Callithrix jacchus: one gene and its partners. The protein of the gene in region 7 purifies or fractionates together with the protein of the main gene of each other region. This does not show direct contact. Links are inferred from orthologs where the notes say so. Each region holds a gene or a part of one and is shown on either strand. Other genes may lie near its edges.

Region 1 (3,500 bases), on a different chromosome or scaffold from region 7:
AAAAAATAAAGCTGGTAGATCTGTCTGTACTCACAAGAAAGGATACCACAAGTGGTGGGGAAAGCAAAGTGCAGAAGAGTATGCAAAGAATGTTCCCACGTACATTGCAAAATGAACATGCACACAAATCTGATGATAAGTGGAACTATATAAAATTGCTGTTTCCTGACTTTTTTTTTTTTTTTTGAGACAGAGTCTTGTTCTGTCGCCTAGGCTGGAGTGCAACATGATCTCGGCTCACTGTAACCTTCATCTCCCGGGTTTTTTCCTGCCTCAGACTCCCGAGTAGCTGGCTAATTTTTGTATTTTTAGTAGAGATGGGGTCTCGCCATGTTGACCAGGCTGGTCTCGACCCCCTGATCTCAAGTGATCCACCTGCCTCAGCCTCCCAAAGTGCTGGGATTACAGGTGCAAGTCACCATGTTCAGCCTCTTGACCATTTTTGGTTCAAACAAACAGCAATCTTATTTGACTCGATCTAATGTAAATGTAATATGTCTAAGAAGGCATGTAGAGAAGACCCGGGAAGGCTGAACACAAGTCAATAGGATGGTTCTCCCCCAGGGGATGGGAGAGGCTGGGTGTGCAGGGAGTTGAGTGAAAGGGCCTATTAGCTTTGTAACATTTATACTTTTATGTTACTGAAAATGTTTATCACAAGGATGTCTTCATGTGTTTCATGTGTAAAGACACCTACATAAGAAAAATTAAAGGAATAAGGTAGATCAACATGTTTGAACATGGAAAAACACTGCAAGGTTCTGGAAAATGAGAAAAAGAAAGTACTTTGCAAACAATAGTTACAGTCTATGATTCTATTTGGTAAAAATAAATATGTGACTGGGCATGGTGGCTGACCCCTGTAATCCCAACACTTTGGGAGGCTGAGGCTGGCAGATCACCTGAGGCCAGGGGTTCAAGACCAGCCTAGCTAACATGGTGAAACCCCATCTACTAAAAATACAAAAATTAGGCAAGTGAGGTGGCATGTGCCTGTAATCCCAGCACTTTGGGAGGCCGAGGCGGGCGAATCACGAGGTCAGGAGTTAGAGGCCAGCCAGGCCAATATGGTGAAACCCCGTCTCTACTAAAAATACAAAAATTAGCCGGCCATGGTAGCACTCAAGATCTCAAGATCACGCCACTGCACTCCAGCTTGGGTGACAGAGTAAGATTTCATCTCAAAAAAAAAAAAGTAACAACAGCCAGGCACAGTGGCTCACACCTGTAATCCCAGCACTTTGTGAGGCCAAGGTGGGTGGATCACAAGGTCAGGAGATCAAGACCATCCTGGTCAACATGGTGAAACCCCGTCTCTACTAAATATACAAAAAAAAATTAGCTGGGCATGGTGGCGCGTGCCTGTAATCCCAGCTACTCAGGAGGCTGAGGCAGGAGAATTGCCTGAACCCAGGAGGCGGAGGTTGCGGTGAGCCGAGATCGCGCCATTGCACTCCAGCCTGGGTAACAAGAGCGAAACTCCGTCTCAAAAACAACAACAACAACAAAAAAAAAACCACATACATATATATATGTTAGAATGTACACAGAGAAAAATAGCTGGAGAATACTAATACATGCTAACATATATACTATATATATACATATTAGAATATGCACAGACAAAAATAACTAGAGAGAAAATAATTCAAATTATTAACAGTGAGGATAGAACTGCTAGGACATTAATTTTTTTTTTTTTTTTTTTTTTTTTTTTTTAGTCTGAGTTTTTCTCTTGTTACCCAGGCTGGAGTGCAGTGGCACGATCTCGGCTCACTGCAACCTCCGCCTCCTGGGTTCAAGCAATTCTCCTGCCTCAGCCTCCTGAGTAGCTGGGACTACAGGCGCGCGCCACCATGCCCAGCTAATTTTTGTATTCTTAGTAGAGACGTGGTTTCACCATGTTGACCAGGATGGTCTCAATCTCTTGACCTTGTGATCCACCCACCTCAGCCTCCCAAAATGCTGGGATTATAGGCGTAAGCCACCACACCCGGCTGACATTAATCTATATTTCATGTTTTAATTTTACAATTTTCACAATGTGTTGCTTTTGTCATCAGAAACAAGATGTGACAAGGGGAGAGTTGGCCCCCTTTTATAATAAGAGCCCCAGAGAGGCCCCTGAAAGTAAAGTCCTTCTTTCTGCAGAAAGGATCCTCAGACTCACGAGTGGGTGCAGTTGATGGGGCAAGGCTGGCATGTGCCCTCCTCATCTGGAAACTTCCAGATGGGCATGTAGGAGAGGTCAGGTTTCACACCGCTGGGGCAGCGGGCCACGCAGAAAGGAGAGTCCTTGTAGTGGGCACAGGCCACACACTGGTCAGCCTCCTGGTGGGGTTAGAAAAGGTTTGTGGGGGGCTGACACTGACACCCCCAGAGCAGCAGGGTCAGGTCCCTGGTTGGGTTCACTTCCTGCTTCCCACAGCCACACAGCAGCAATTTTCACTGTGCACCTGGGACAAACACTCCTGCTCTTCACCCAGTCTCTGTGGCCCCTCCCTCAAGGCCCTCCTCCAAGCTGGATCCTGGGCGGGGACTCAGCCAGAGAATGGGAGGCACCCAGAGAGGAAAATGCATTACCTAAGGTGTAACATCGAGTAACCACAGTCACTGCTGTGTAGAACTAGCCTTTCCCGTGCTTTGCTGTGCTAAGCCCTGTTTAATTTCATTCTCGCCACACCCCAGCAAGGCAGGTACTATTACAATACCCATTTTCAGAATGAAAAAAACAAGGTTGGAAGCAGGACCTGGATCTGAATCCAGGTAGTCTGACACCTGAGCCCACAGGGCTAACCACCCTAGCACAGCCACGGCCACGAACAGAGCTCTGGAATTTTTCATCGTCTGAAGGGCCCCTCTCCTGCCACCCTGCTGCTTGTTCAGGTCTGAGCGCTGAGCCCTCTCCAGGGATATTTTACCAGACAGAACACCCTGCCACGTCTTGCCAGCCTGCCAAGTCCCTGGCAATGCCCCCTCGCTGCCTCCCTCCACCCAGCTCTGAGCCTGCCAGCAGCTCACCGGTCCAGAACAGGTCACTGAGCCATTCTGGGGCTGACACTCAGGGTGGCACGGCAAACAGTGTCTGGCATTCACATACTCCCTGGGGAGACTGAGAGAAGAAACAGTGGTGAGGGGGTCTGAGAGGAGCCGCCTGCACCCCTCCAGCCGCCCCTCTCCTCTGCCCTGCATACCCCTGCAGTACTCGGCATTCCTCCACGCATTCCTGGCCCCTAAGGAACTGACTGCAGTTGACACACTGGGTGGGCCCCGGACCCCAGCAGTGCCCTCGGGCGCACAGCGGGTGGCAGGCCAGATCCTTGCCCACTGCAGTGAGGAAGAAGGGATGACGGGGGATTTTTAGGGGAGGCCCTAGGTCCAAGTGAATCAGGGAACTGGCTGTGGGCATGGCTCTTGGCAGCAGGGGTGGGGACAGGTGGGGCAGATGTAGGAAGAGGAAGAGTTCTGAGATTTCAGAAACAGAGGGGGAGGGAAGGAGG
Region 2 (4,263 bases), on a different chromosome or scaffold from region 7:
AAGTGCCTTGAAAACCTTAACTCAGGTTGGGCACAATGGCTAACATTTGTATTTCCAGTACTTTGTGGGGCTGAGGTGGGAGAATTGCTTGAACTCAGGAGTTCAAGACCAGCCTGGGCAACACAGTGAGACCCCATTTTTATAAAAAAATGATAAAAAAAAGTAGCCAGGTGTGTTGGTGCAGCCTCCCACGTAGTTCCAGCTACATGCGAGGCTGAGACCAGAGGATTGTTTGAGCCTGGGAGGTTGAGGCTGCAGTGAGCTGCGTTTGTGCCACTGCACTCCAACCTGGGTGATAGAGAGAGAGACTCTGTCTTAATCAATCAATACACCTTAACTCATTTAATTCTAACAACAGCCCATGGAATTCTTTACAGTTGAAGAAAGCGAGAATCAGAGGGTAAAGTAAGTAATTTGCCTAAGGTCGGACCACAACTAACTGGGTAAACTAGAATTCCAATTCCAATCTGTCTAACCCAAGTGATACTCTTTTTTTTTTTTTTTTTTTTCTGAGACGGAGTTTCGCTCTTGTTACCCAGGCTGGAGTGCAATGGCGCGATCTCAGCTCACCGCAACCTCCGCCTCCTGGGTTCAGGCAATTCTCCTGCCTCAGCCTCCTGAGTAGCTGGGATTACAGGCACGCCCCACCATGCCTGGCTAATTTTGTATTTTCGGTAGAGACGGGGTTTCTCCATGTTGGTCAGGCTATTCAGGTGATCTGCCCACCTCTGCCTACCCAAGTGATGGGATTACAGGCGTGAGCCCCCACACTCGGCCCCAAGTGATACTCTTAACCACCAAGCGTAATGGCTTGCAAAGACCATCGTGTTTTCCATTTGACTAGCCACTGGTCCTCATATCGTAGCTGGAAGGGCAGTGTTATTATTCCCATTTTCCAGATGAAGAAAATGAGGCTTAGAAAGGTGACGCGGATTGCCTAAAGTCACATAGCTAACAAGTGGTGGATGCAGAATTTGAACTTGACTCTTGTTCTCTGAAAGGCTCTGACCCGCAGCAGCAAGGCCTTGGTTCTCCTGCTGACTCAGAGCAGCGTGGCTATGTCTGCAGTGATTTCTCTCTGCGTTCGACTACGTGGGCACCGGGCACCTGGCACCTGGCAAGAATTACGCGGAGGGAGGGAAGGGGTCAGGCCAGGGATCAGGCGACATGACCTGCAGCCTCCTGGAAGCCTGGGCCTGTGATTGCAGGGCCGTCGGCCTCGCTTCAGCAGTCTTGATGGCTGCTTGTTTCTCAGGCTCCTGCAATTTCAGCTCTTCCTGCGGCAGGAGAAACGTGGCAGAGCTCCTAGAGCATCGTGAGAACCGGAACTTGGGCGACCTGCGGCGCCTCCGCAACCATTGGTTGTCCTGAGGGTCGGGGACGTGTGTCAATTTGCATAACGTATTCGATTGGCTCATGAGACGGAAGTGGGCGTGCCCAAACGAACCCACCTGTCCGTGGGTGGAGCGCGCAGGACTTCCGAGCAGGAAGGGTGGAGGGGCTACCTGGCTGCGGTGAGTGGGGCCGGGCAGGGACCTTAAACCTCTTGGCCGACGCGCTCTCGGCCGCACTGCCTGTGTAACCTGAAACGGCGGGTGTGAGGACTCACTGTAAACAGGAATAGGCTGGAGCAGGACACAAAACGTGACATTGGTTACTTCTTGGAGTGGGCAAATTATGGAAAGGAATTTTTAATTGTAAAACCTTTTATACCCAAACTAAATCATGGGAGACTAGTGAAACATAAATTAAAAGGGCGGGCGCGGTGGCTCACGCCTGTAATCCCAGCATTTTGGGAGGCCGAGGCTGGTGGATCACTTGAGGCCAGGAGTTCAAGACCAGCCTGGCCAATATGGGGAAACCCTGTCTCTACCAAAAATACAAAAATTAGCCGGGCGTGGTGGCAGGCACCTGTAATCCCAGCTGCTCCGGTGGCTGAGGCAAGAGAATCACTTGAACCTGGGAGGCAGAGGTTGCAGTGAGCTGAGATCCCACCGCTGCACTCCAGCCTGGGCAACAAGAGTGAGACTCCATCTGAAAACAAAACAAACAAAACAAGGGAAGGGGTCAGCTCTGGAAAGTGACATTGGTTTTCATTTGGAATAGGGCTTTAGCAATGGCATCTTTGTGGAGGTGACATTTTAAGAGTGTCCTGAGTGAAATAAGGGAGGGTGCCATGTAGTATCTGGGAAAACTGCTCCCAGTTGAGGGACAGCAGGAGGGAGTAGCTATGTGCCTACTCAGTGCCCAGAAAATAGACGAAATTAAATTGGACAGTGGAGGAGGGGAGAGGAGATGGTCACTGGTCCAGACATCTTAGATTCTCTAGAAGTGGCCAGCCTGGCCTCTACCCAGGTGACTGAGCTGCAACCATTTAGCAAAAGGTTTGGAAGTCACATCCAGTGAGCTAGAGTTCTCTAGGGAGGCAGCAGGGGATTGCAGGAAAGAGAACCTGGCTATGGGTTCTGGTCCCAGTTTCGGTCTTTTTTTTTTTTTTTTTTAATAGAGACAGACAGGGTTTCACCATGTTGACCAGGCTGGTCTCGAACTCCTGGCCTCGAGGGATCCACTTGCCTCAGCCTCCCAAGGTGCTGGGATTACAGGCTTGAGCCACTGCACCCGGCTGACGGTTTCAGTCTTTAGGAGCCACTTTGTCTCCCGGAATTTCACTTTCTACCTTTAGTATGGTTATAAAGTCCAGCTTGCCGGTGTGTTGTAGGGACAATGGTATTAAGAGCTGCCATTTTTTTTTTTTTTTTTTCTGAGATAGTTTTGCTCTTGTTGCCCAGTCTGGAGTGCAATGGGAGGATCTCGGCTCACTGCAACCTCTGCCTCTCATGTTCAAGCAATAATCCTGCCTCAGCCTCCCAAGTAGCTGGGATTACAGGCATGCACCACCTCGCCTGGCTAATTTTTGTATTTTTGTTAGAGACAGGGTTTCACCATGTTGGTCAGGCTGGTCTTGAACTTCTGACCTCAGGTGATCCACCGGCTTGGCCTCCCAAAGTGCTAGGATTACAGGCATGAGCCACCACGCCCGGCCTATTTTACTTTTTTTATTATGTTTTGAGGCAGAGTTTTACTCTCTCACCCAGACTGGAATGAAGTGTTAGGATCTCAGCTCACTGCAATCTCCATCTCCTGGGTTCAAGCAATTCTCATGCCTCAACCTCCCGAGTAGCTGGAATTATAGGCATGGACTATCGTGCCCAGCTAATTTTTGTAATTTTAGTAGAGACAGGGTTTCACCATGTTGGCCAGGCTGGTCTTAAACTCCTGACTTCAAGTGATCCTCAGCTTCAGGTGATGCCTCAGCTTCCCAAAGTGCTGGAATTACAGGTGTGCACCACCATGCCTGGATAATCTTTGGATTTTTAGTAGAGACGGGGTTTTACCCTCATTCGCCAGGCTGGTCTCGAGCTCCTGACCTCAAGTATCTTCCAGCCTTGGCCTCCCAAACTGCTGGGATTACAGGCATGAACCACTGTGCCAGCCAAAATGCTGTTTTTGACATTGCCATGGGTAAAACAGCCACTACAGAGTCTGGCACAAGTGGTTTGCCCTGAGGGTTGCTATTGGAATGTAATTAATTAGGCAGCACACACGGAATTGCTGAGCCCTGAGCCCTCCGTGACTTATTAAGGTCCTAAAAACCACACCTAGCCCTAATCCCTTTGCTACTTGGCTCTCAGGCCAGGCTCTGACCCATCATCCCCATCTCAAGGCTAAAAAGCAGAAGATTAGCTAAGAAAGTCGGTCCTGAGGGCTGGGTGCAGTGGTTCACACCTGTAATCCCAGCGCTTTGGGAAGCCAAGGCAGGTGGATCACCTGAGGTCAGGGGTTCAAGATCAGCCCAGCCAATGTAGTGAAACCCTGTCTCTACAAAAATTACAAAAATTAGCCAGGTGTGGCGGTGGGTGCTTGTAATCCCAGCTACTTGGGAGGCTGAGGTGGGAGAATCCCTGGAGCCCAGGAAGTGGAGGTCGCAGTGAGCCAAGATCGTGCCGCTGCACTCTAGCTTGGGCAACAGAGTGAGACTCCCTCTCAAAAAAAAAAAAAAAGTGTGTCCCAGAGCCACATGGCCTGGGCTTGATGCCTGCGTCTGCCACTTACAAGCTCTGTGATCTTGGCCAAGTCACTCAGCCTTTCTGTGTGTCAGTGACCTCGTTGGTAACATGGAGAATCTAAGCTCTACCTCACAGGGTGTTGTAAGGATTACAGGGGTAAACCTATGGAAGTGTTTCCAGAAAGTGCCTGGGGCAT
Region 3 (3,500 bases), on a different chromosome or scaffold from region 7:
TGCTGCCGGCCTGGCTCCGGCCAGTACTGCAGGCACGGCTGGGCATGCGCACAGAGATGTGAGAGCTGAGTAGAGCCTGGCCGGGGCTCAGCCCACAGCCATGCCCACCCCCAGGGCTCCACACTTGCCCTGTGGCTCCCACATACCCTGGCCCACCCAGACTCCACTCCAGACTCACCTTCAGCAGCCCCCCAATCCCCACCAATCACCCACAGACTGCCAGGCCCACCTGCTCCAATGTATTCTGTACTGACATGTTCAGATCAGCCAAGGTGAGCCCTTCACAAACAGTGCACTGATGCCTACTGCTATGCAGCTAGAAAGCTACATCTTAACCGGTTCACACACCCCTGCGTGAGGCTGCCTGCTTCCAGTATTAGGCCTGGAACACTCCCACCCACCCCAGAACCTCCCCACAGCCTTCTCTCTCACTGCCTCTGCCCTTCAGCACCAGCTCACAGAGGTGCAGTGTCCTTGGTGCTCAACACAGCTCAGTATTCCCACTTCTGCCCCAGGACCCCTCCCTGGAGTCAGGGTCCTAAATACAACCACCTCCCAGACTCTGGACAGTGGAGGGACAGAGGAGATGCAGCCCCCCGACCACACACACACACACACACACACACACACACACACACACACACACACGTCCTCCAGGCTAAGTAGCCTGAGCCTCAGTTTCTAGTCTCAGCTCTGCCTGGAGCCCAGGAAAGACTCTTCTTTTCTCTTGGCCCCAGTTTCCCCATCTGTAAAATGACCCCCAACCTATTCCAAAAAGACACCATGCTCATCAATCCCCTCTAACCACAGCCCACGATGGGCAGACAGCACCTTCCTCATTTTGCCTCATGTCCTGGCAACCCCGTGCATTCAGAACTCTACACATGCTGCTCCCTCTCCATGGCTCTCTTCCTCCACCTCCTCACTTAGTTAACTCTGCCCTTCCCACACATCTCAGCTCTGATACTACCTCCTCCAGGAAGCCATCCCTGATACATGATCCCCTGGGCTTCTCTGTCCCTGTGCCAGCTCTATGATAGCCCTTTTTCGTCTGTGCTGTCACTGTCAGTTTTTCTACCTGCTTCCTCCTGGACCATGAGATCTGGGAGGCGCCGTGTCTCTTCTCCCTCTGTGTCCTCCCTGCCCACTGCAGGGAGAAGTTCACGGGCAAAGTTGGTTGAGCAGATGAGCGAATCGGTGTCCAGTGAATGATGTCTGTGTGAGCCTCCCTCTGGGCCTCTCCCCTCTATATTCCTGCTGCACCCAGGGGCTGAGGCCGGTTACCCTGCAGTCCTGGGTCATTTTCACGGAGTGCCTGACTCATAAAGAGCTCAGTTACCGAAATCTTCTCAGGAGGCCATTAAGAAGCTGTTGTACTCATTTTACAGCAAACCTTCCTGGTCCCCTGGGCCCAGCAGAAAGCTGGGGTGGGAAGGGGTCCACGTGGTCAAGCAGGGCTGCAAGACTGGGTGTCTGCACTTCTTGAGAGCTCCAAAGGGAAATGGGGGAGACAGAGGGGCTGACACCAGGCTGAGGTCACTGAACCGGTGTCTGAGCCAACCTCAGACGCAGCTGTCACCCTCATCATCTTTGTCCCTGCCATGTAACACATGCCTACTGCACACCAGACAGAGCAGTGCCACGCATCCTATGCACACCTCACCTGGTCCTCACAGTAACCCCAAAAGAACGGGTCCTGTGATGACCCCCATTTTACAGAGAAGGAAAGTGAAACTCAGAGAGGTCAACTTACCCTAGATTAAACAGTCAGAGAGTAGGAGGTGGGAATTGTACTCTACCTTGGAGGCCCCGGTGATGGGCACTTCAGTGGAGTGACTAAAAGAGCAGGAGCTCTGGAAAGAGGCAGCCGAGGCTGGAGCGCAGCTCTGCCCCTCCCCAGCTATGTGGCCCTGGAGAAGACCCTGCACCTCTTTGGGTCTGAATTTTCTGACTGAAGCCTTCACTCCAAGGTCATCATCGATTCTAAAATAAGACCATGAGTGCAGAATAGTCCCTGGCTTAGCAGGGGGCCAGTAAAGAGCGACTGTGGCCAGATGGCTCATGCCTATAATCCCAGTATTTCGGGAGGCCGAGGTGGGAGAATGACTTGAGGCCAAGTGTTCGAGACCAGCCCGGGCAACATGGTAAACCTCTACTAAAATAAAAATTAAAAAGTTAGCCAGGCGTGGTGATGCAGCCTGTAGCCCCAGCTACTCCAGAGGCTGAAGTAGGATGGCTTGAGCCCAGGAGGTCGAGGCTGCACACCTGTGAGCTGTGAGCGTGCCACTGCACTCCAGCCTGGGCAAAAGAGCAAGACCTTGTCTCAAAAAAAGAAAAAGAGCAACTAGTGGTCTCCCATCTGATGCCCTTGTTGGACAGATGAGGAAACTGAGGCTCTAGGAAGGTGTAGGACTCATCACACAGCAAACAGATGGCAGAGCTAGGACCTAACTCTTGACTTTAGGGACCATGCCCTTGAACACAGAGGATCCAGGCAGCAGGCAGCCCCTCAGCCCGGCCAGCGGAGCCCTCACCCAGGCGGAGTTGGACTGGTTCAGCTGGTTGAGCATGACGATGGAGGTGCAGCCGTAGTCGTAGACCAGCCGCCAGAAGTCGGGCGTGGTGCTCTGCAGTGGGTGCAGGGTCACGATGAAGGCCGCGCTTCGCGTATAGCTCTGCAGAAAAACCGGGACTCAGCGGGGCCCTGTCCCCGACCCCTGGCATGAGCTGAGCCTCTGCTCCAGGCAGACTTCCCACCCTGCCCACCCTGAATTGGACAGTTGTGCCCCATAGGACCAGGCTGCCTCCAGTGGCCCACTTCTGATGTTGGCAGGCACATGGAGGCCTGGGTTGACAGGCTGGGCCCAGGCCTCTGGGGACCAAGCCCATGACCCCCCAGAACTGAACAGCAAAAGCTTCCAAAGGTGTGGCGAGGGGAGCTTGGGCACGAGGCTGAGCTCAAGGCAGACACTGGCCAAGCTTTCTCCCCGCCTCCGCACCTCAGCATCTGCTATTTTGGCTGCCTAGGCCAAATTTCCCAATGTCTATATGGCTCTCTCCCTCACTTCTTTCTGGCCTTTGCTTGTCACCTCCTCAAAGAAGCCCTCCTCTACCACCTACCACCTCATAAAAAATTGTTCCCACACAGGTAAATCCACATTAAACACTTCTGCCTGGCTGTTTTTGTAGAAATTGTTCCCAGTGATGACATTTCATTGTATATTTATTTCCTGACTATCCCACTCCACCTCCTAAAAGCAAAGTTCAGGAGAGCAGAGCTTCCAGGATATGGTCTCTGCCCAGAACCCTGGAGGGGCTCAATACATAATCTGAATAAATCTCTAGATCCCTTCCAACTCCATAAATTAAGAATCTGGGGCCCCAACCCAGGCTCCCCAGGCAGTGACAGGCCCCGACGCTGCTCCCTGCTCCCTCGTCCTGCCAGGGAGGCCTACCAGGCCTCCTCCCATCAGCGCTCTGGCCCAGAGGCTCCCCTGGCG
Region 4 (3,500 bases), on a different chromosome or scaffold from region 7:
TCAAAATTAAATTTATGCCAAGTCCATATAATTAGGATAGATACAGTAGCAAGTAGCCATCATTTTCTATATGCTAGGCATTGCTCTCAGAGCACAATGGATTTTTGTTTTTATTTTTGAGACAGAGTCTTGCTCTGTCACTGAGGCTGGAGTGCAATGGTGTGATCTCGGCTCACTGCAAACCTCTGCCTCTCGGGTTCAAAAGATTCTCATGCCTCAGCCTCCTGAGTAGCTGGGATTACAAGCACCCACCACCATGCCCCGCTAATTTTTTTGTATTTTTAGTAAAGACAGGGTTTCTGTCTCTACTAAACAGAGTAGAGAGTTACTAACAGAGTAATGAAATTTTAGGCGATTTCACTTCCTTCTTTGTTGTGGGCACTATTTGTTTTTCTATTAGAGCATTTATCAATTCTATAAAACAATAAAATTATTAAAATAAACTAAAAGACTACAGATGCAATTCTTAAAACTCAGTATCGAGGCTTTCAGACCGACGTAAGACAAAATGGTAAACTCTGCAGACATTCAGAGGAAGTGTTAATACATAGATTTATCAACTGGTTGGAATCTTACATGAAACCGGGCTATCTGCTCGCGATCCAGGGGCTTTGTCACTGACAGCTGACCCGAGATGGGGTTGATAATGAAGATACCAGTCGGAGGCTGGTCAGCTCCTGGCCCAGTTACGCTGTACCGCAGTGAAAGGTTTTTATCTCTATCAGACCTGATCTGAGGATCAAGAAAACAATCACATTAAATGACAAACTAAATGAGCTCATTACCAGAGATGGGGCACATCACACTTCATGTCCTTTTTCAGCTACCAAACTTACACTATCTCTTCCCAGAAAATCACTAAAACTCTCTCCTAGTGCCTGTTCTTCCTCTGCTTTTTGGTGATGGGCTTCAAAAGAGATGTCATCTATCACTGGAAAGACTGGAGGCAACATTAACATCTAAAAGAAGACTCACTAGGAGCAGGGCAAAAGTTCCAAATCTACAAGTGTCAGTTTAATTTAAACAATCAAACTCTGTCCTGGGAGTTTCTAGGTTAGATGATTTAAACATTGTTTACATTCTTGCATCAGTAACAACAAGAATGAATTCTCTCCATAGTGTGAAATATCCTCAAATGGAACTCTAACACAGTTATGGTTCAGCCTGAATGTCAGATTTCTGTACTTGCATTGTACTAACACTGTTCACTGCAACCAAAGCTTTCCACATCATTTTAAAGTGACACCTGACATTTTCATTAATAATAAAGTACAAAAGAAAGCATTTTAAAATATATTTTTATATTTTTATGCTTGCAAACATTATACCATTTACAGGCTCACTGCCTTCTCCAAGTACAACTACTCTCAGGAAAATTAAGTCAATGTATGTGCAGTCGCAGGAGACAGACCAGGCTATGAAAGGGGATGAAGGGAGGGAGGCGCAGAGAAATAATAAGAGATCCTCATGTACTAGGTACTTCCACTTAATCCATCAATGAAATCTAGTTGTTTTTCTTTTAGGTTAAAGCAAAATTCTCTTTTCTCTCAAACTTTTTAAAGCAGAAAAAGAAAGAGTATCTTCATTTCAGTTATATTCATTGTTAAACTTAATTATAATGTACATTTGGACAGAATATACAACATAAATAAGTGGCTTATTTTTTTAAAAAACTTTCAGTAAGTATGTGTTAGAATGCTAAAATAATCATATATAGAAACATTTGTATTTTAATAAATGGCAATACAACAACTTTGTCTTACTATCCTTTTGTAATAAATAATGGGTTGTTAAGTTTACTAAAGTGCAAAAATATCTACATTTTTCTTTTTGTAGCTGATGGCATGTATCTAGAGTAAATAAAAATACAGATTTTGAAAGCCTATGATTTTACATTGCCCTGGGAATTCTGTTAATGGTATCAGAGGTCATTCTTTTCTTTAAAAAACTCTCAAATGCTTTTGATGCTGGCATTTTTAACAATGATGGCCCTTTATTTTTTGTGTGGCCCAAAAACTATCTGTAGAGGGCAAAGATCATCACAGAGAGCCCAGCTTTCAGACAGGGAAGCTTAGGTGTGTGTGTGTTGTGAGGGTAGAAACGGTATGGATGGGAATGTATCTTGGCTTTAGGGCTTGTGTAGTCACAAACTGAACAAGCTTTCTAATCCACAGTGTACAGGGCCTACAAGAGAGCTCTGCTTATAAATAATCCGAGAGGTAACAAAGAAAATGAGAAGAGGCTTTCTCAACATTACAGAAATTCTATCTATACAGAAAAACACTTTAAGTATATACATGTCATAAACTCTACTTCGTTAAAAACAAAATAGAAATATTTCTAATATACATTTGGCTTATGCTATGAAAACAGTTAAAATTGTGCCACCTTACCCTGACAAGCTCTTGAGGAAAAGGTCCCCTGGAGTTTTCTGGCAAGTTGATTGGAGGGATGACCCAGTCTCTCTTCTGCCTTTGTAGGTGGCCACTGTGCTTACCTAATTGTCTTGGGAATACTATTTCTTCAACTTCTGTTGACTCCTTTACATTAAAATATAATAACACATTCCTGAATACTAGGAAAAACATTTTCTGAAAGTAGATCAATATTATTGAATACCTGAAAGCGTGGGAATCACAGTTTATTATGAACAAAAAATGTCTGGAGGCCCTTTTCCCTGGCCCCCTATTAATATAACAGAAAACACCATAAAATTTTTGGGTTACACTGTATCTGAAAAATTGAATTCTAAACAATTTTTTATATGGCACAGCTGTGTAAACTATTTGCAGTTTCTATAAACCTTCTTAGATAGTAGTTAATACTGAGCAAAATTTAATAGTACCCTTTTATATATTTCTCATTAGTTTAAACCACAGTTCAGGTAATGTGCTACTGTACATTAAATTTAGATCTTGATGTGCTAAAATATAATTTGAATTCCAAGAGAAGTTTAATACATGTTGCTAAGGAATGTCTCGAATATTTATGACCCTATTAAATCCCACAGAATTAATGCTGTAATTATTCTAAACCTATGTCAGCCATGATGGATGCTGTAGATGACCCACTTTGCACATTAGGTATTAATCTCTGCTCGATGTCAACATTTTCTTCTGCTTCTCCCTCTATCTGTAGACATTTTCACCATTAGCCCTTGCTGCTTCAGTGCAAATATCCAAGCTAGTTTGCTGGAACATAGCAAATCAACAACAAAAGCATCTTTTCACTCCATTAGTTACTGGTTTTTCACTTTATATTACCCAAATGACATGACTTCCTTGAACAGTTAATAGATTAACAAATTGAATTTCACATAATAAAACCACAACACTGAAATAAGAGAAAAATGATATATTTTCCTCTGATACATTATTCATGTCTGATTGTGAGTATATTACATTTACAATTAAATACCAGAAATGAATATGTTTATTTCTATCTCTCACAGTATAATAAGTATAAACAAAAGTAGTAGGTAGGCATAGTTCCATAGTCCA
Region 5 (4,216 bases), on a different chromosome or scaffold from region 7:
ATTTAGGCCTGAATATGCCCAGGAGAAGTAAGCAGCCCTGGAGGAGTTCCGAGAAGAAAGAAGTCAACATGGGTGGGCAAGACCCAGGCAGAAAAGGCACCAAGGAAAAGGTAGGCCCAGAACTGGGGTCTGAGAAGTAAGATTTGGACAGGTGTAGGCTGAGTGGGTTTGAGCGTGTGCAAGGGAGTTACATAGAGCACATACATTAGGTGCCTGTTGGCCTGAGACAAGGCAGAGGGCAGGTCCAGCCCTGGGATGGAGATGCCCAGCTGCAAGTAGAGGTTTGTGTTGGGGCCTAATCAAGGTGGGAGGGGGTGACTGTAGTGTAATATCTGTGGTCCTGGCTCCTGTCATAAAAGTCCATATCTAGCCTTCCCCCAAGTGAGGGATTTACTGGGTCTCATTGCCCCTCCTCAAAGACACCAAAGCTTGCCTGGGCCCTGCAGCCCAAAGGGCTCTCCAAACCAGAGGTTAATCAAAGGTCCAAGAAGAGCCTACCAAGCCCCTCAGTTGCTTCCTCTGTCCTATTCCTCAGAAAGGGCTAAGAGCTCACTGCCAGAGGTACACCGTGGTGCAGTAACTGTACAGTGCGTGGGGCTGAATGAGGGGAGCTGCACTGGGGAAGGGGGCTCTGCTTGAAACCCAGTGGGGCAGGCAGTCCAACAGTGCAGTGCCCTGCCCTCCACCTTGCCCATGCCGCTGCAGCAGGCAAGCAGAGCCGCAGAGGGAGGTGTCTGTGTGCGGAACAAGGCTTGCCTTGACCCCACGTCCCATGCCAAGGGGAACGTGGCCAAACAGAGACCAGCTCTGCGGGGCCAGTTCAGCTGCCGCCTAGGTGCTTGGGCTGTGACGCATGCGGCCGGCCCAGCCCCTCACCACTGGGGGAGCGCAAGCAAAGTCCAGCGTTCGGGCGATCACCAGTGTCAGAAGTGCCTCCAGCAGACAATGACAGCGGCCTGGCGGGCTGGGTATGTTAAGTAACTGCGAAGTTGGAGGGTTTGGCCACCTCGCTAGATCTCTTGTACACACGGAGATGGTATGATGCGTTTCGTACTACAATGACGGACCTTTCGGCTTCTGGCAAGCCAGTGCCCCCCCAAACACCGTGTCCATCGCTATTTTTAAACCAGAGGCTGCAGAGAAAAAAGCGGCCAGTATCTTCCAAGGGAAAAGGAGGTGAGGCGAGGGGGGAGACAAAGCGGCCTTGCAGCTCTAACTCAAGGACTAGCTTGGGCCGCTGCTCTAACCCAAGGACCAGCAAGAGCCCGGCTGCCAGCCAGCCTGCCCGACCGCGGGGGCGGGCGCCAGATGCGCCTGGAGGCCCAGGAGGAGGGGCGCGGCTAGTTGGGGCCGCAAGGCCAAGGTTCTGAAGGGAAGTGTGCAACTGAGCTCAGCCCACAGGCCCGACTGAACTCCTCAGGGGAGGGGGCAGTCTGTGGATGTCTTAATCTACGCCAAAGCCGGTCTCTGTCGGGCCCAAGCCAGAACGCCAGCTTGAGTCCGCAGAAAGGAGGGACAGGCTGGAGATGCACAGGGGAGGAGAGGGGCGGCAGCCAGGCAGCCGGGGTGAGCAGTACCCGTGTAACACAGCTGTTCCAGCAAATGTGCTACAACAAAGCTGCGGAGCTCCCGGCCTACAAATGCACGACTTGGGGTGCTGGCTGGAGGCGCCCTTCCCGGGACTATGCGGCAGCACGTGCGGGCCCATCTCCGCCTCTCGGGAGAGCCGGGAGGGATGGCCCAGGCTAGCCTGCCTGCCTATCCGCCCTCCCCTCCCCCCTCCCCCCAGCGGTGGTCACTTGTGCCCAGGGGACTCAGGCCGCTCGGCCTCTTACCCGACAGTCCGCAAAGCGGGTTCCAAAGGAGAGGGGCGAGAGACCGGGACTCCGACCCGCCCAGTCCTCAGTGCACTCCTCCAGTCCGTAGGAGCAGAGCACGCGGGAATGCACCCGACCGCTGGCAGGCGGAGGCTCCTGGCTGTGCGCAACGCTTACCCGGCCCGGTCAGGTTCCCAGCGCGGTTATTGTCCGCTGCGCCGCCCTTGGCCGGGCTGCAGCCTAGGCTGCCGCGGCTGAGAGCGCCGCCACCGCAGCTGCTGCCCCTACCGCCGCGGCTCCAGTCACCTCCTGCACTGACTCCCCTTCCCCAGGCTTTGGGTAGCTCCCCCATACCCCCTCCCCCCCGTACTCCATGGCCACTGGGTGGGGCATCTGCGTCCTGATTGGCAGGGGCATGACCCAATCACTATGGTGAGAAGGCGTGCCCGGCCCGCCCACTGTTTTCCTTGGTGCGTTTCTCTTTAAATGCAAATAAGTACGGGCGTGGTGTTGGCAGGGGGCGGAGAGGGTGCGGAACCCCTGGCTGGGGCTCCCCTCTCCTGCCCCCACGCCGGGCGGGTAGTGGCGTGGCTGCACCGTGGCCTCAAGGAGCCGCTCCTGCCCGGATGGGGTTCACCGGATCCCTGGAGCTCGGTTTCGGTTTTCACGCACTCCTATTTCCGTGGCCGCTGTGCATTCGCTCTACTGTGCCCTGGCCGCCACCAGGCAATTCATTCCTCAGCTAGAGGCCAGCGGGGAGTAACGAGGCAGAGAGGTTGAGGGACTTTGCAGAACCTCTTAGCACCTCGGCCTGCCCATCCTTAGTCGTAGAGACAAGGCCCTGCGAATCGTGCCCCAGGCCACCCGGAGGAGGGACTCACCTGCCAGGAAAGTCAGCTGCAGCGCCTGCGCCCCAACTTCGTCCTCCTCTCTGGCACACCAGGGCCCTTAGAGACCGTAAAGGCCAACTTCCACCCGTTACTGACGTGTTGCCCCGACTCTGCTGCCCAGAGTAGGGAAAGCCCCTCCCCACAGTTACCCAGCCTGCCGGCGACACGGGCCAATTTGGAATCCAGAGCCCCGGGCTCCCCTTCCAGGATTGCTTTCACTTTTCTTCTCTGAGATGATACCTGTTTTCATAGTTTAACCCTCACCCAAATTTCCCACCTTCTATGGAATGTGGAGGGAATCTCCAAGGTCTCCAGAGTCCCCTTTCCCCCAATCCTTTGTGAGCCTGGCTTTGTGCAGGCCTTTTTCCCTGAAAAGTCTAAATATTAAGAGGAAAATCTTGTCTGGGTCCAAACCGGAGGTCAGCCTGAGGACAAAGTGAGGAGGCCTGTACTGGCCTTGTCTGCTACTGTGTGTAGGATGTGGCAGGGAGCCAGCCGAACTTGGGTCTCTAGCTTAAGGACATTAAGTGGCATTAGTGGCTGCCAGGGCCAGGTGAGCTGAGGCAACAAAGAATCTAGTTCTACCACTAGTTCAAGAATATCCAGAAGGCCCAGCCCTAAAACTCTGTGTGTCTAAAAAGGGAGGTGGGGGGATTAAAGTTAATGATAGGGAGAAGGATTAGAGAACAATGTGTGCTATTTTTGCATTGCAGGAGTGTTCTCTGCTGCTTCTGAGTCCTGGCAGTCTTGAAAAGATCCAGCTGCTGAACTGGTAAGAGGGGGACTGCTGCCTCTGCATGGGTGGAGCACAAGAACTGACATAGCTGCTAGGGATCTGACTCCACCTCTACCTTAGACTTGCTAGACACCTTGGCCAATTCATTTTCCTCTCTGGGCCAGTCCATCACCCCATCACCATGAGGAGAGGGTAAGCATCATCAGGCCCCCTTGATATCTTTGAGATCTGACAGTTCAACTCATTTTCTTTCTATAATATTCCATGACTTTCCATGGAATATTATGGAAAACATATATGTTCCATCACCTTTCATGACATTAAATACATTGCCAGCAAAACTCAATACTGAACATTAGAGTCCCATCCTAGTACCCAGTCTAAATAAATGGTGAGGAGTAAGGAGCTGCTGCTGGCTCATTATGCAACTTTTTCCCATCAGGATGGCTGGACTATAAAGGTTTCCCTGGGGCTATGCTTTCCTGCTTCGCAAAGTCCTGATTCTCATTTGTGGGCCTGATTTTGAAGTGTCTTTTCTTTTCCAGAACCTTCATTATATCTCCTTCCTACCTCATGCCTCTGGTCACTGCAACTTGTTCACATTTTACTCAGAACTTTGATTCACTGAATCAGACCAAGATTATGATTCGGAGAAGCAGTTTATAAACTTGGGATTCAGGGAAACAAAAGGCCAGAGCAGTCTCAGTTGTGGAAGCAGGGCAAGAGGAGGTGTGCGAAGTAGTCAGGTGGCAGGCTCGAAGTAGTTCCAGGCA
Region 6 (4,011 bases), on a different chromosome or scaffold from region 7:
AGGCCAGAGAAGTAAAATGAGGTGCTCAAATTCACACAGCAAATATGTGGCCAAGACAGGATTCATCCTTATGTTCCCTGGTACTACAAAGATCCCTTTAAACTTCTGAAAAGGTAAAAACTTTGGTCAGTTATCTAAATGTTTCTGAGTCTATGGTTGCCTGGAGCTATGTAACCACAGATTAAGTATCACTTGATAAAAGTGGTGTGCAATCAATCACTCACTCCTATCTCAGGAGAGACTCGTTTTGAAGGACTATCTATTGCAGCATTTATCATGTCTCTAAGGCATATTTCCATTGCTCAATCAGCTCCAAAGGACAAGTGTGTCATCATCCTTCAAGGCTCTGGTGCAACAACTTAAAATTGTAGAATTCACACAGGACTAGGTCTGGCACTAAAAGCAGAAGGCATATTCAGCTTGAGCTTGTGGAAGCTTCCCTTCGATCCTGCCAATTTCTACTAGTGGAAATGGTTTCAAAGCCAGCATGAGGTTATTTGGGGTTGCTTGAGGAGCTCTTGATAAAAAAAGAAAAGGGAACAATATAAAGGGGTCACAGCAATGATGGAGCCTTGGAAAAAGTATGTAAGTCTTCTTTGGGCATAGTGGCTAAGTGTAGTTGAGATTTTAACCTCATGAATATACTCAATCTACCTGGACATCTGAGTCATTCACACTAAATGTGCCACTTTTTCTTCAGTAGCAGTACTCAGCCATTTGCAACAAACCCCAATTTCACTTTGTCTATGATGAGGAAGAAGGAGCAACTAAGTGGACTACGGTACCCAGGTGAAATGCCTCATCTTCACAGTGTTCCAACTCCGCTGGCCTTGGCTAATGATGATCAGATATCCAATTTATTTTTGTCTGATTTGGAAGGGATGGAGTAATTACTTAAGGGTCATTTATAAAATGTAATAGGAGTAACAATCATAGATCTTTGGCCATTAGGAGCTCACATTTTTAATAGAGAAGCAGTGCTTATGAAGACAAAGTAGCCAGAGACCCTATAAGACAAGGGTTAAATTATTAGTATAAAATATAATGTTTTAATTGCTAATAATTCTATTCTGTATTATGTTAATTAGGAAGAAAAGTACTACATCATTCTTTTAGAGGTAATTGAGACTCAAAAAAAATTAAACTCAGGGTAAATTCAAAGCATAAAAATAGAGATTAGCAGAGAATGAAAACTAACTTGAATCACACAACCATCCTCACCACAAATAGTACTTGCCTCTCAGTTAACCTATTTGTTGATATTTGTTGTACTGCATTCTAGACATGTTCTTTTCAAATAGACAAAACTATCAAATTTTGACTCAAGAACTATTTCATAGTATAGCCAGGACATTTTGCCCTGAGGCAGGCTAAATTAATAACTGAAGAAAGATAGCAACAATTTTTATGGCTTGCAGAAAAACAGAATAACAGCATTTTATGGAATAAAACAAAACTCCTATTTAAGAGGCTTAGATGATATAAATATATGTTGAATCAAATGACTGTAATAAAACAGTATTTCAGGAAACAATTTTTACTAGTTTTTAATAAGCTTGATATTTTAAAAACTATGATTAATATGTCCAAACTTAAGGCTTCCAGGAAAATTAAAAGGTTAAAATGTAAAGTCATCAATTTCAGCAATTAAGTGATTTAATTTTAATGCTTTAGCAGTTATATTATAAAACATGAATCACACCAGTTAACAATCTATTTTTACACAGAATCTCCGAGAAGAGAAAAAGAAAATGAATAGAAATATAGACATCGATATGAGACAATACCAAACAGTAGAGGTGGTGCTAAGAAACTCCAATAGAAGAAGCCATAGAAATTACATTTTGCAATGGCCAGGAAAGAAATATTGAAAAGAAGGTATCTGATTCTGACATATCTGAAGAGAAGTAATAGGTAATCACTTATTTAGTATGCAGTAGGCATTTAGGGACCTCATTTTCTTCATGTGTAAAATGTGATGCTTGGAACAGATATTTTTCAAGGTTCCGACAAGCTATTCTTCTACAATGCATTAGGCATTATGCTAGGAGGTATCCTAAGAAATCTAATGAAGAGCATCACTTGGCCCCATACTCTGGGAGCTTACAATTCTTTGGGAGAGCTAAAGTGCACACACAATTATCTAGATTTAAAGTAGAACAGAAAAGAGCTGAGAGTACTTCAAGAAGAATAAAAGTGCTGCAAGAGAGATAAAAACAGTTATGAGAGATCTGTAACATACAAGATGAAAGGAGGAAAAAGTGACCCTTCAAGTCTAAAGAGCCCTACATTTTCTTGGGAAATGTATGCAAACTCAGGAAATAAAATGAACAAGATTTTTTGGATATATCTTTAATGCTTAAATTTCAGGAAATGGAAGCCATGCACAGAGATAAAATACAGATTAGCTTAGGTTTTCTTTTTTAAGGTTCAGAATATGTTTTTAAGTGAACACCATAGCAGCAAGCTAAGCATTAAAATACTGGAGTGTACACATGATAATATTAAAACAAACATGACTTGGAACACAAACTACAAGAGCAATTTTACCCTTACATAAATGCCCCCATGTCCCCAGTAGCCGTATCTGGAAGAGACTTTACCTTGTGATATGTTTGCAGACAGTGTATCAGTGAAGGAATCGCTTTCTGGGTCAATTGGAGAATCTCCCAGAGTTTCACCCATAACAGCATGGAATAGGGGTTTGCTGTAATTCACACTGATATTTTGTCTATATCTAGCAAAAGATCAATCCGTTGAAAGAAAAAGACTTGAAGTAACAGAATTTGTGAATACACCCATCAGTTAAGACATCAGTTTCCAAATATTTGGGAGAGATGGGAATAAACACAGAAAGGACTGGGCCTGAATTGGCTGGCACTGTCCTGTTAGGAGCCAGCTCTGACAAAATGTTGTGTCATAATGTTGTTCACTGCTTTGGCAAGACTTGGTACATTACAGGGAAAATAATATTGCCACACTGTCTCGCCAGTGACCCACATGCTGAGTGTCTTGTGAGGGGTGTGAACTGTACAGTATTTAGAATTATAAGAGCGGAGACTGTTCAATATCGCCTTGCATTTTTATTGTCATAAAATTCACATCAATTGCTTATTAAATGGAAAACTTTAAATCTCTCGCTTATGAAATACCAGAAAGCTTATTTGGGCAAAGTTTTCTTTTGGTGTCTATTCCTGGTTGAATCTCTAATCACATTATCTGAAGAAAACTTTGGAATTCAAATATGTATCCATAGTTTAAACATTGGTATCAGCATGCTACTGAAATGTTATATTCCTAAGGTATTTATTCTACTGTTTGTGAAGCCCAAAATGATACTGACTGCTATCCAAATTCTGTAAAATTAAATAGTTGAGAGAATGAAGAAGGGTTTGATGTGGTTTCAATTTTATATGTCACAGTTTGTTCTCTTAAAAACTTCAGCTTATCCATCAATTGCAACTGCAGCAATGTTACATCAGTTGATGTCTGAACATCAATTGATGTTTAAATGATAAGTGCTGTGTCATAATGAAAAAATGGAGTTCTCTGTAAGAAGAACACACTACCAGAAAAAAATAGACTTATACGCTATTAGGTTGGCGAGGAATTGTGGTCAGTTTTGTAATCAGGAAAAAAGCTGGCTTCTTGCTCAAGGCCTTTGCCCTTTTTGGCAAGGAGAAACACTAGCTGTGCCAAATTACAGATGTGGGAGCAGGTCTTGTCACATGAATGGCCTAGTAGAATTGCAGTGACATTGCAGATTTTCAAAGACGCCCCTACACATGGCAATTAGTACATTAGAAGGCAATAATTCTCTGAATTATACTTATCTTGAGTAAAATAAATATATATCTGGTTAATCTACGTTGAGTAACTATTCATTCTTCAGGAGGACTAGTAAAAGTGTCCCTGTCAATCATGGTGCAAGAGCTTGATGGTGAAATGCTCGCCAGGTCTGAACAGTACAGAATAAAGTAGAGAGTTAGGCAACTGTGCCGTTAAGCCCCA
Region 7 (4,034 bases):
TAGGCTCAAAGTACAAACTTAAAATTTACCACCTACTCATCTACCATTATTGGTTATCAGCAGCTAGGAAACCACCAAAGAGAAATAAAATAATCTTGTAACAGGACAGACGTGTTATTTCATTTCAATAACACTGAAGTTTCATTTAACTGAATATGTAGTCTGTTGCAGGAGTTGTAATTTCACTGCTACTTATAGTAACAAAATAATGATATTGAAACTGTGAATTCTCCACATCCCTAGTTTCAACAATATTTAGCATGCACCTCTCCCCACCACGCCCTATAACAAAAAAGGGTATCTATGACAGTTTTTGGTAACACATTTCAAAATACTCTTAAAGAAACTTGCCTCCTCATTTTCTATCTTGGTGGCGATGTTATGAAAACAAGCACAGAGACCCTCATTTATGCCAATTTTTATCCAGTCATCAGGAACAGTAAGAAGCTCAATCTGATAATTTTAATATTGGCAATACACTTTTCTATATCATCATCTTGGTAAAGGAAATAATCCAGTAACAGTTTTAAAAACCCCTCGATACTCTGAAACCTGAACACTGTTAAATGCTTCATTTTTTATTAGCCGCCTTATTTTTTTTTTAAGTTGTTTTCTCCTGAAAACTTTTAAATGGTTGCTCTGGTCTGTGGGAGACTCACGACTCCTGAGGACTCTAAAGTTACATGCTATACTAAGCTCTCTAGCACAGGTTTTTACTTCTCCCCACCCCCAGGACTTCAGACTTGAATAGTTTCAGCATTCCTTTAATCCTACAGAAAAGACTTCTGAAAGTTTTTCAAGTTATTGTTGCAATAATCTCAGGGCCTTGTCCTTGTACATGGCCTTCAGAACAAAGGTTAGGTCAAATTAATGAATATTGGGCGCAAATTAACTAAATTTTGTCTGGTGTGAAAGGACATCCTCAAACCCTTAAAGGTACTTTTTTTTAATCAGAGATTTTTCAAAGATTTAAATATAAAAGTAAAATAAATGTCGCAGCAGCCTTAGTTCAAACGAAACGACTCCAAAGTAGAAATTTATGTCAACAATTTAAGCGGATAGTAATATAAATAACACTTCAGGCTATATTTACTATTTCTCAGGATGAATACAAATCGATCGACACGAAGACATCTGAAGGTACTGAATGTTCGTTCACCAAGTGACAAACACTGAAATGGCTTCCTAAATTCCAGACAAACTACTTTACAACTTAGCGATCTGAAAAACATTAGCGTAGACATTACCAAAGGAAATGCTGCCGTCCCTTCAAGCCTAAGCCACCATTATTCACGATACAAAGCTCTCATTGCACTAAAACCACTCCTCGATTTCCTTTTGCCGACCTCTGCATACCAGCAGCCTGGTCTTTCTTCATTCACCACTCACAAACTCGAGGGGTGGGGGGCCGGGGACGGGGGAGACCACAGATGTCTGCAAGATACAAAGTATGAGACAATGTCCCTCCACAAGGGAACAGAACGAAGGGAACAACTACACCCAGTGCCAAAGCTTTCCAGCTTGGCAGATTCAGAAGCGGGCTATAGGAACTCAACTTCGAAAAGTCTCGGTTCAAAGTCCTCTCTCCAGACAAAACAGAGAAGTTTCAACTGCTTGAATTGCATTTGGCCGTTTTGCAAAGAAGGAAAATTTCATTCACTCCGCTGAAAAGAAAACGTGCTCTAAAAATCAAGTTTAGCTGCCATCAAACTATTTGAATAAATTTAAATTATTTCAAACGAACAAAATCCTCGAAGCGGTCCGAGTCAGAGGCCGAATCCTGCAGTTTACGTGGTAACAAACAGTGAGCCATCACCTTCGCCCTTCCTCCACCCCCTTGTTTCACTAGGGTCTCATGCCCACTACCATAAACCCAGAAGACTCCCCTACTTTATCCACCGCTTTCACTCACCTGCACGGTACGCTAAAATAGTGCAAGACACGGATTTTCTACGTGCACACCCTACTGACGCATCGCACCGACCGCACTCAGAGTTTACTCTAAGGTTTAAAGTTGCTTCGATTCAAACTCACACAGGCAGGGCATTACCAAAAATTAATAATAATAAAATTAACACTTCTATTCTTCCGAAATCTTAAGAGAAAGTCCACTCGGCGGATCCCCAGGACAGATGGGACTTAGGGTGGCGCTCCGGCCTGAGCCCCCGAACCCCAACTCGCCGCAGGAGCTGAAAAGGCGGAGCCCCCGGTCCCCACCCCGCCCCCCACCCCACCCCGGGCCCCAGCGCATCCCGAGGCACAGGGTCCCTCCCCCAAACTCGGCCAAGGCCGGAGCCCCGCACAGAAACCACAGACCCCCACCCCCACTCCCACCCGCCGGCCATCCGGGCTCCTGGACGCGACCCCGCGGCACCCCCTCCCTGCAAGCGATGCCCCCGGGGCCCCTGAGGGGCAGCGCGACCGGAACCCGGGCCCGGCCACCGCCCTCCGCGCCCCGGGCGCGTCCCGCCCCCGCCGTCCCCCACCCGAACCCCCGCTCCCCACCCCAGGCCTCCGGGCTGTGCCCGGCCCGGCTCCCAGCCCGCCGCCCGGACCGCGCGCCTGCGACGAAGTTTGGCTCCGAGAGGAAGCGGGAGCAGCCCCGGAAGGATAAGGAAAGGAGCGCCCAAGCACCTCAGGGGAACAGGCTCCTCCCGCCGCGGGAGTCCAACCGTCCTCGACCTGCGGTGGCGGCTCGGCGGGCACTGAGGCTGCTCGTCGGACCTTCCTCCGTCTCCGCCTCCCCTCGCTCTCCGCTCCCGGGGCCGGGCTACCGCGGCTGCCACAGACCGAGAGACTTAAAATGGCGCCGCACAAGGAGCTCTTATAAGTCGCGCGGAAGCCGCTGTATCCTGCCGCCGCCGGCACCGCGCGGAGCGTTCCGCCGCGCGAGGACACGGGGCGGGGCGCGAGAGGGCGGGGGAAAGTAGTCCCGCGCCGCCAGCCGTGCGCGGCCCGGCAGTGCGCCGCCGTGAGAGCGCTCCGGGTCGGGGCGGGGGCCGCGCTCGCCGCGGACGCTCCCCACGGACGCTCCCCGGGCGCAGGCTGGCGGCTGCCTGCTGCGCGGGACCGGAGGGCGGCCCCGGAGGGCGCCGTGGTCTGCGTCGGGGAGGCCGGGCCCCTGCAGGCCTGGGTGAGGGAAGGTGGCCCCGTCTCCTCCCCCGTCCCAAGCCCGACGCCCCCGCCCCGCGCGTTTCCCGAGCCGGGAGAGCAGCTGCAGGACTCGGCGCGCCTTTCCCGCGGCCTGCGGAAGGTGGCTCCTCGGCCCCGGCCCTCGGGGGCCGCGCGGGGCGGGCGGGACGGGTCCTCGGAGGGCGGAAGTTCGGGGCGCTCCTGGGCGCCGCCGCCGCCGCCGCTGCCCCGTCGCCAGTCTGCGGACTCCCGGCCCGGCGCGGGTGTCGGGGCCTTACGACCTTGCGGTCTGTGCCGCGCACTCCCTGCTGGACCTGGCTGGCAGCCCAGTCTCGCGGCACCCAGAGGCCCCCCACTGTCCGGATGGTGGGTCCCCCCCCGCAGCGGGCGGCTCAGCTTGAGTTTCGACCTGAATCACCGGGCCAAGCCGCCCTCGATCCCGCTCGCGAGGGCTGTGAACTCCCGGAGAATGGGCGCCAAGCCCGCAGTTCAACAAGTCCTTCTGAGTACCTACTGTGAGCAAGTAACTAGTGGAAATGGATTCGCTCCGGAGCACTGTCCATTAGCTTAATTATTATAGATTCCATTTTTATCTGGTTCCACTTGTCACTAGGTATCAATAGATTTATTTGTGGGGATTTTTTCTTTGGAGAAGAAGGTTTTTACGGTATTACTTGAGAAACCAAAGTATGTTTATAGAAAAAGCGATCGATTAGACAGCCTCTAATATTTTTAACTGACTTTAAAAACGTTTTTTAATTAATTTTGATAGGCTGAAAAATGTTTCCCATTGTAATGCAGCAAAATTGGCGTTTGTCAAAGCTGCAACAATTACGATCGCTTCACTTTCTCTATTCTATTGTTTGTGCTTATTTTTCCTCCAAAACATTGGAGAGAGTACA

The links.
Region 1: the proteins of CTNNB1 (region 7) and ERBB2 purify together in Homo sapiens (affinity purification with western blotting; 3 studies listed by BioGRID). This does not show direct contact. The link is inferred for Callithrix jacchus from reciprocal best matches to the Homo sapiens genes CTNNB1 and ERBB2.
Region 2: the proteins of CTNNB1 (region 7) and MYH9 purify together in Homo sapiens (affinity purification with mass spectrometry; 3 studies listed by BioGRID, with this or other methods). This does not show direct contact. The link is inferred for Callithrix jacchus from reciprocal best matches to the Homo sapiens genes CTNNB1 and MYH9.
Region 3: the proteins of CTNNB1 (region 7) and PTPRU purify together in Homo sapiens (affinity purification with western blotting; 3 studies listed by BioGRID). This does not show direct contact. The link is inferred for Callithrix jacchus from reciprocal best matches to the Homo sapiens genes CTNNB1 and PTPRU.
Region 4: the proteins of CTNNB1 (region 7) and CDH2 purify together in Homo sapiens (affinity purification with western blotting; 18 studies listed by BioGRID and IntAct, with this or other methods). This does not show direct contact. The link is inferred for Callithrix jacchus from reciprocal best matches to the Homo sapiens genes CTNNB1 and CDH2.
Region 5: the proteins of CTNNB1 (region 7) and AMER1 purify together in Homo sapiens (affinity purification with mass spectrometry; 4 studies listed by BioGRID and IntAct, with this or other methods). This does not show direct contact. The link is inferred for Callithrix jacchus from reciprocal best matches to the Homo sapiens genes CTNNB1 and AMER1.
Region 6: the proteins of CTNNB1 (region 7) and PPARG purify together in Homo sapiens (affinity purification with western blotting; 4 studies listed by BioGRID). This does not show direct contact. The link is inferred for Callithrix jacchus from reciprocal best matches to the Homo sapiens genes CTNNB1 and PPARG.

Annotation. Positions count from the first base shown.
Region 1 is NC_133506.1:120,178,185-120,181,684, reverse strand, and holds part of ERBB2 (receptor tyrosine-protein kinase erbB-2), read right to left. Parts: intron 3,328-3,500; coding exon 3,195-3,327; intron 3,113-3,194; coding exon 3,022-3,112; intron 2,332-3,021; coding exon 2,171-2,331; intron 1-2,170. UniProt on the Homo sapiens protein: Protein tyrosine kinase that is part of several cell surface receptor complexes, but that apparently needs a coreceptor for ligand binding. Essential component of a neuregulin-receptor complex, although neuregulins do not interact with it alone.
Region 2 is NC_133502.1:207,356,032-207,360,294, reverse strand, and holds the start of MYH9 (myosin-9), read left to right. Parts: upstream 1-1,463; 5' UTR 1,464-1,514; intron 1,515-4,263. UniProt on the Homo sapiens protein: Cellular myosin that appears to play a role in cytokinesis, cell shape, and specialized functions such as secretion and capping. Required for cortical actin clearance prior to oocyte exocytosis. Promotes cell motility in conjunction with S100A4.
Region 3 is NC_133508.1:65,979,851-65,983,350, reverse strand, and holds part of PTPRU (receptor-type tyrosine-protein phosphatase U), read right to left. Parts: intron 2,676-3,500; coding exon 2,535-2,675; intron 39-2,534; coding exon 1-38.
Region 4 is NC_133514.1:71,258,818-71,262,317, forward strand, and holds part of CDH2 (cadherin-2), read right to left. Parts: intron 2,541-3,500; coding exon 2,394-2,540; intron 733-2,393; coding exon 577-732; intron 1-576. UniProt on the Homo sapiens protein: Calcium-dependent cell adhesion protein; preferentially mediates homotypic cell-cell adhesion by dimerization with a CDH2 chain from another cell. Cadherins may thus contribute to the sorting of heterogeneous cell types.
Region 5 is NC_133524.1:61,521,405-61,525,620, forward strand, and holds the start of AMER1 (APC membrane recruitment protein 1), read right to left. Parts: upstream 2,801-4,216; 5' UTR 2,699-2,800; intron 2,134-2,698; exon of another isoform or gene 1,836-2,133; intron 969-1,835; exon of another isoform or gene 847-968; intron 1-846. UniProt on the Homo sapiens protein: Regulator of the canonical Wnt signaling pathway.
Region 6 is NC_133516.1:69,515,814-69,519,824, reverse strand, and holds the start of PPARG (peroxisome proliferator-activated receptor gamma), read right to left. Parts: upstream 2,801-4,011; 5' UTR 2,686-2,800; coding exon 2,604-2,685; intron 1-2,603. UniProt on the Homo sapiens protein: Nuclear receptor that binds peroxisome proliferators such as hypolipidemic drugs and fatty acids.
Region 7 is NC_133518.1:78,994,435-78,998,468, reverse strand, and holds the start of CTNNB1 (catenin beta-1), read right to left. Parts: upstream 2,801-4,034; 5' UTR 2,770-2,800; coding exon of another isoform or gene 2,133-2,769; exon of another isoform or gene 1,913-2,132; intron 1-1,912. Other genes in the region: uncharacterized protein LOC144579968, read left to right, coding at 2,133-2,769, 2,832-3,703. UniProt on the Homo sapiens protein: Key downstream component of the canonical Wnt signaling pathway.